2 linked regions of the Xenopus tropicalis genome follow. The protein of the gene in region 1 interacts with the protein of each later gene in a pairwise test. Links are inferred from orthologs where the notes say so. Each region holds a gene or a part of one and is shown in the gene's direction. Other genes may lie near its edges.

The links.
Region 2: the proteins of morf4l1 (region 1) and zbtb9 interact in binary tests that used the Homo sapiens proteins (3 or more experiments, as listed by UniProt). The two-hybrid records come from large-scale screens. The link is inferred for Xenopus tropicalis from reciprocal best matches to the Homo sapiens genes MORF4L1 and ZBTB9.

Annotation. Positions count from the first base shown.
Region 1 is NC_030679.2:118,096,291-118,100,043, reverse strand, and holds the start of morf4l1 (mortality factor 4-like protein 1), read left to right. Parts: upstream 1-1,555; 5' UTR 1,556-1,619; coding exon of another isoform or gene 1,620-1,659; intron 1,660-3,753. UniProt on the Homo sapiens protein: Component of the NuA4 histone acetyltransferase (HAT) complex which is involved in transcriptional activation of select genes principally by acetylation of nucleosomal histones H4 and H2A.
Region 2 is NC_030684.2:71,795,891-71,799,643, reverse strand, and holds the start of zbtb9 (zinc finger and BTB domain-containing protein 9), read left to right. Parts: upstream 1-1,204; 5' UTR 1,205-1,264; intron 1,265-1,287; exon of another isoform or gene 1,288-1,384; intron 1,385-1,390; exon of another isoform or gene 1,391-1,560; intron 1,561-3,753. UniProt on the Homo sapiens protein: May be involved in transcriptional regulation.

The DNA of each region.
Region 1 (3,753 bases):
AATGGCACTCTGCAGCTCCAACCCGGCCAAAGGAAAGTCTCCCATAGGGCTCAATGGCACCCTGCAGCTCCAACCTGGCCCAAGGAAAGTCTCCCATAGGGCTCAATGGCACTCTGCAGCTCCAACCCGGCCCAAGGAAAGTCTCCCATAGGGCTCAATGGCACTCTGCTGCTCCAACCCGGCCCAAGGAAAGTCTCCCATAGGGCTCAATGGCACTCTGCAGCTCCAACCTGGCCCAAGGAATGTCTCCCGTAGGGCTCAATGGCACTCTGCAGCTCCAACCTGGCCCAAGGAAAGTCTCCCGTAGGGCTCAATGGCACTCTGCAGCTCCAACCTGGCCCAAGGAAAGTCTCCCGTAGGGCTCAATGGCACTCTGCAGTTCCAACCTGGCCCAAGGAAAGTCTCCCATAGGGCTCAATGGCACTCTGCGGCTCCAACCCAGCCCAAGGAAAGTCTCCCATAGGGCTCAATGGCACTCTGCAGCTCCAACCCGGCCCAAGGAAAGTCTCCCATAGGGCTCAATGACACTCTGCAGCTCCAACCTGGCCCAAGGAAAGTCACGATACTGAAGCTTGAATGAATCCGAAACTTTCGTCGGCTACAAAAAAGTTGCGACAATTTACTAAAAAAATCGCAAAATACCGATCATTACGGAAAAAACGCATTCGGACCCTTTTCGGACGTTCGTGGATTAGTAATTGTGCCCCTATATGTTCTGGTTTTCCTCTATAGTTACGCCACTGCTGCAGTCCCGGACTGCCAGGAGGAATAGGAGGTCCTGTAAGATATTGACTAATAAACAGCTGCAATATAGATTTATAAAAATTGTCTTATTTGTAAATTTTAAGGGGGGGGGGCTAAAATAAATTTAATGTCAGACCCATTAGCTTTTAGTTATGCCACTGTTTGCTGGCCTCTGTGGGTGACCTCTGTGCTTATACCTGCCCTGCAGGAGTGTGCAAGAGTTATTAGTGTAAATTGACACTTTATGAGGAAAAAAGACCAGAATCCATAGATAGAACAGAGAAAATTTCACTTTGCTTTATACTTATTAGTAACTAGAGCGCAAATTAACGGAATTAACAGCGCCCGGCTAGCTCAGTCGGTAGAGCATGAGACTCTTAATCTCAGGGTCGTGGGTTCGAGCCCCACGTTGGGCGTAACGTTTTCATTCGGTAAATTTTGCCTTATGTATTTCCAGACACTAAGTAAACGTTAATGCGTGAGATTTTGCGCCGTTGTATGAAAAAATACTTTCTGGAATATGTAAACTAAGCATTCAGCCTCGAGTAACATTAAAATCGATATAGAAATAGATACCTGAGGTACCTACCTAGCATTTAGTCTTGAACAGTAAATGTTATTTATTAACATTCCATCTTATTTCCACTGTAGCAGAAATGCGAAGATGCTTGTTTTGTTTGTGAGGGTGGGGGAGGTTGCGCCACTAAAGCCGAACTACATTTCCCATAGTGCCCCGGGAGGGCTAGTGGCTATTGCGCATGCTCGCCACATTGGGCATATCCCTGCGCGCATGCGCAGGCGGCGTGCGGTGACGTGCGGGTCCGCGCGGTGAGTAGATGCGGCGGATCCGTTCCCGGGAGCCGCGGAGTTTATAAATGGCGCCGAAGCAGGACCCAAGGCCTAAGTTCCAAGAGGGTAAGCATAAGCCATTGTACGTGGCTTCCACCATTACACCGTAGTCTTCACTCACCCCTTTGCTCTAAGTGAACGCCGAGCGGTAGACCAGACGGCAGAGCGCTGTGCCCCAATAATGCGCGCAGTTAATGGGCTGAAAGATATCGCATCTGCGGCTCTTGGATTTGTTCGGCTGCAACTGGCAATACAAGCTCTTACGAATGTCTGAGAGTTGCAGTCAAACAAATCCGCCCCTCGCCTTTACTGCGTTAAAGGGGTGACATACATCGTTCAGTTCTCTAGCCTGAGGACCGCCGTGGTTAGCTGTATGGGGGAAGCTGGGAAATGTAGTTCGAGTGGGGAAGTCGCAGCAGAGTGTGTTCCGTGTAAAATCTCGCATTTTCCTTATGGGGGAGGGGGCGTGGCATTGTCTGCAGGCGCAGCAAGCGGGAAATCTTTGTTGTGCGCCGTGCCTCAGTGCGGCAGTAGCTCAGATGGGCAGTCGCAGGTTGGTTACCCCGTTTTTATAGCGCGACAGTAGCTCAGACGCTTGGTTACCTCTTCGCCATTGTGGGAGTGACGGGACCATGACTTCATAAGAATGCCTTGCTTGTATAGGGAGCAGCTGGACGGGGATAGGCTTGCCTACGGCTTCTTGTGCCTGACACATGCAGAAATACAGTGTTTAGCTTGACCAGTTGTAATGGGGGTGTTGGTTTATATTGACCTGATCTGTGTTTAGTGCAGGGATGGAAAATGTGGCCTTCCAGCTGCTCTCTCTACAAACCTGCACCCAAACAAAAGTCTTGTTGCTTTGGCACCTTCCTTACTCTTAGGGCTCTGGCACACGGGGAGATTAGTCGCCCGCGACAAATCTCCCTTGTCTCGGGCGACTAATCTCCCCGAGTTGCCATGACCCGCCATCCCACCGGCAAACATGTAAGTCACCGGTGGGATGGCAGGGGAAGGCAACTCGGGGAGATTAGTCGCCCGCGAACAGGGAGTTTTGTCGCGGGCGACTAATCTCCCTGTGTGGCAGAGCCCTTAATGGGCAAGGTTAGGTCCACTAACTTTACACCATTCCTATATCACTTTGCTGTCACAAAGGTCCTATCTTGGTAGAGTGAAGAGCAGGCTTGCTTCTAAATCTCTCACCAGCATGTGTTCTAGTACTGCATCAAAATGTGAGGAATCTGATTTCTTGTTCTGTCATTCCAGAATAGTCCACCATAGTCCTGCCTTACAGCATCTTTGTCCTCTTTAGCCCTTTCTTCATTTTCTGTTGCTGCTGTAGTTGGATCTCTCTGCATCTGTGGATCTCAGCACTGTTGGCCAAAGACATTAATGAAGAAACATTGGGACTGTACTGTCACTGAATCATATCCCTATTAGTGAAATTTGGAGTTGTCAATTTGCTCTTCTAGTTACACTTGACAGTCTAGCCTGAAGTCCAGTCTTTGTGAGATTTGGGATAAAAACTTATTTCCTGACCTAGTAGTATGTGGAACAGTCTCTTTCAGATATCTTTAGTCATGTTATGAGGTTAGGTTTGGTGGCCATGGGTGGTGGAGTCTAGAACTAATAAAGCCAGACAACCACTGGTATAGAGAATGTCTCATCTAGAGAATGAGCTCTTTCTGCTGCCAATCAACAGCTTAAATTAATTGACACTGTTGGTGTATGTATAGCTGCCTTTTTAACATATCAGAAACCTAATGGAGTTGCCCTTACTATGATATGCTTTTTTAGAGGAAAGGCTTATGCAGTTAAGTCAAAATGCTCCTCTCCATCTGTCACAACTCCTAATGGTCTGTCACTTTTTGCATGGAGGTTCACACGCTCAGAGGTCCTCTTTGTGTGTGAACAGGGGCCCTTGCTATTAAATACCAGTGGTGACACTGGTGTTTTAACTACTGCTGTTCTGCACCAGAGGACTTTGCTGTCAACACACCTCAGCATATTTTTTTTTTTTTTTAGTGTGTAAGCCAACATCTCTGGTGATCTTTTGTTTTCTAACTTGTAAGTAACTGTCAAATTCTAAATACTGATTGGTTGCTATGGGCACCATCACTAGTGATGTTGGCTTACACACTGTAATAAATATGCCCCCTGATT
Region 2 (3,753 bases), on another chromosome or scaffold:
CTTTTCAGGTCACATATTCCCAGTATTTGTCTGTATATAATTAAAAAAGTCTCTTCTCACATACCATTTTTCTTGACTGTGTCATATGATATAGTTGTGTCAGTAAATAAAAAAATATTTTTAACAAAGAAGTATCATATATATGTAATTGCAGGGGCTAAGTATCAGTGTCAGAATGAGATGCCAGGTGCACACTGCCAAAACTTTAATTCCTCCTCTCCTCCTTCAAACTCTTTATTATCCTAGTCTCTTTTCTCTACATACTAACGTTTATTCATCCATTTACCAAGCTTCCATGTTCCCATCCAGAAATAGGCTAAATAGTTAGAAGCAAGAGGGCCCACTGACACCTGGGCCCACAGGGAGTTTCCCTGGTATCCTGGTGGGCCAGTCTGGGACTGGTAGGTATAATTAAATATGAACTTTGGACAGTGGATGCTTGCATTGTTGTACCAGTGCAACTTTGCCTCAAAAATGTGTCCAGAAGGGGGAAGGGGGGGCCTGCTGCATGCCCTGCACCTGGGCCTGGGGAGGTATAGTTCCGCTACTGTTTGGAAGCATAAATCAGTTTGGTGTAATGATCTCTTGTACCTGTTATCAGTGTTGGACTGGAATACCAGGGGCCCACCAGAAAACCTTAGAACATGGGCCCACTCTCCAAAATATTATTCTCCTATTACATGCTAGCATCTATTTTTCCATCTATTATTTGTATTTGTTCCCATTCAGAAATAGGGAATGACCATGAAACAGGCCAAATGGTTTGGAGCAGGAGGGCCTACTGACCCCTGGGCCCACCGGGAGTTTCCCTGGTATCCTGGTGGGTCAGTCTGACACTGCCTGTTATAAACTTAAAATATACCAGAGAATGCATATCACCACATAATTTCACATTTAAATATTCCTTTTTATCTGTACTTCTTCTATTTGCTCCAGCTCCCTATTTTGGTCCATCACACTAAAACGAATCATTTATTAGTTCTTTGACCTGGTTAGTAATTTGTATTGGATAATGTATGTGAAAGCAGGCTACTCAGCCTGGAGCTTTGCAGGCAATAGTAACATAGTGCTGTGAGAGGCAGATCACTTGGCACACCACACAGCTATAACCCTCTATGGAGCAGTTTGTATCATAGCCACGGTTTATTACAGCACATTCATACTACTTGTGCTTGTGGTAGGTTCCTAAAGGAAAGAGCGCAATATATCCCCCTTCTGGTCTCCAGGGGTAACTACAGGTGTGAGCGGCGCTCTGAGACAAGGGGTAAGGTAATGTTCGTCCATGTGATACAGGCCCGGATGTTTCCTAGCTCGTTTTCCCGGGGATAGCGCCTACTTGTCCCTCCTCCTTACTCTCGTAGAGATGTGACTACGGAGTCCCAGGGTTGGTTATACTTGTCCCTGACCGCGTTTTGCATGGCTCCAATTTGATGGTTTCCCAGGGTTACACACGTTTGTCCCGCGTCTGGCCTCCACGGGCCTGGCTATGTTTGTCCTGCCGCTGGTGCAGTGACGGGCTGCTGTATTTAGGGAGCTTCAGGGGAGCAGGGAAGTAATACGGTATGTTTCAGGGGTGGGGTTTATAGCGCCTTTGTGAGCAGTGCACTTATCAGAACTCACAAACCTGTGTCTAGTCTGTGGCCTTCTAGCTAGTTTGGGACTACAGTTCCCAGCATCCTTCACATACAGCCGAACTACAGCGGTAGAGTCACTATTTACAGTAACGGACACCAGTAGCAACTATGTACCATAAGGCCACAGGCTGTATTGATTGGGTAATGGGTGTGTGGGCCTGGCTGGGAAGGGAACAGGTTATCGGATAGCATTTTGTTATATGTACTTGTATTTTGGGCCTTATTGCTCCTTGTCCTCCCTCAGCCCTGTCCCACTGCCTGATCGCTAGGGGAGACTAAGGTACAAGCTCGCAGGGGGACACATAATAATGGGACACATAGCCCAGTAAGGAATGAGGGATAACTGGGGCAGTGCTGGGCATCACTTTCCTACCATCACTCCTGCCATGTAAATGGCTGCTAACAGATATGGAATTGGCTGCCCTTTATATGTTATAATGTTTCTCTGATGCAGATACATGAAATCCATCATTAGCTGTGACCAAACAAAGCCTCACACGGGATATTGTGTTCAGGGGAGACAGTATGTAGCCATGACAGGTGCTTAAACCAGTGATTTCAGGCAGATATTTTAGTATGTGAGTGACTTTGGGCATTTTAAACATGTTTCTTCGGCTGATAAAAAATATGTGGTGATCAAAGTGCAGAAAACATGCCTTTTTTGAAGGGTGAGCGCTTACGAGAGCCTGAGGATTGTCCAGCAGACAGTCACACTGTTCTACCTGGTGCCCAGCACTCTATATACTGAGCTTTTACATAAGTGCAGTGATGCCAAAGTAAAGACGGCTTGTGGGCACATAGCAGGGACTATTTCTCTGCACCTTGCTCAGAAAAACTGTTATACATTTGCAGCCCTGCACTGGTAATTTATTTAAAGAAGTAAAAGTGTATACAGTCCCTAATGTTGTGGCCCAGGCTTTTGGGTGTCTTGTAAAAATCTTATTTATAGTCTGATTATCAAGAGAGCTTGTTGGGTTGCAGCATATACACAAATATCCCTGGTGAAGCCTCCTTGGTTGTTTAAAGATGTTGCATCATTGACAACCCTGCATATTAGACTTAGGTACAATTATAATATTAGCTAGGCTTGTGCTCTCCAAAAATGTTTATTAATTCTGAAAAGTATAACTATAAACACCAATATTACTCCATGTGATATCTACACCAGGGGACAGGAGCCTAGTGTGGTACTACATGCCTGTCAGTGCCTGGCAGGATGGATCTTGTCATGAAAATGCTTGTGTGCACACAGACAGGAAGATGTCTTTCTGTCAGCCAGGGTTTGAGTAGATTGTCTTATTCTCTAAAAGAAAAAAACCCTGGTGTAGCATTAATTGTATAGTTTCATTTTTTAATGGGAAAAAGCAGTAGTTGCAGTATTAAACAGAGGGTTATTTTAGTGTATTGTATAGGTGCATTGACTCCAAAAATGAATAAATAAAAAAGTTGCCCTGCATGTTTCATGCCTTTCATGAACACTACGACGTAGTGCCCTTGAGCAGTATGAAACCATTTGCACTGTATCAATTTACTTCTAAAATATTTAAAATATTTTTTTGTATTTTGGAATTCTTGCATCCTGTTCCAAAATAAGGTAGCCACACGTAAAGATGGCCACATGTGCCAGATTCAGCTGCCCATATCAGTCCCTTAGAGCGATTCAGCAGCTTATTTGCCAGTGTATAGGCACCATCGACAGGCCTTCCCAAACGGCATCTGACCTGAACCAGTGGCACCTATGCCTGCCATTTTAATTTGATTGTTTGGCCCTAGTAAGTGGGCATATCGGGAAAAGATCCTCTTGCTTTATGACATTGACAAGCAAGCAGACCTTACAGTGTATGGCTACCTTTACGAAACACAGTTTTGTGAAGGTAAACTACCACTTGAAGTCTGCCCCCCAGTGCATGTATGTATATATATAATATATTATATCAAATTATTCTTTATTTAGCGCCAACATATTCCATAACTATCCACACCTGTCCCTGCCCTAGCGGAGCTTACAACTTAAGGTGCATATAGCATTCACACACGATCATTTTTCGATCAGAAGCCATTTATGATAAATGTTTTTTCAGTGTGGGAGGAAACACAATCATTGATAACGCATTAAAAC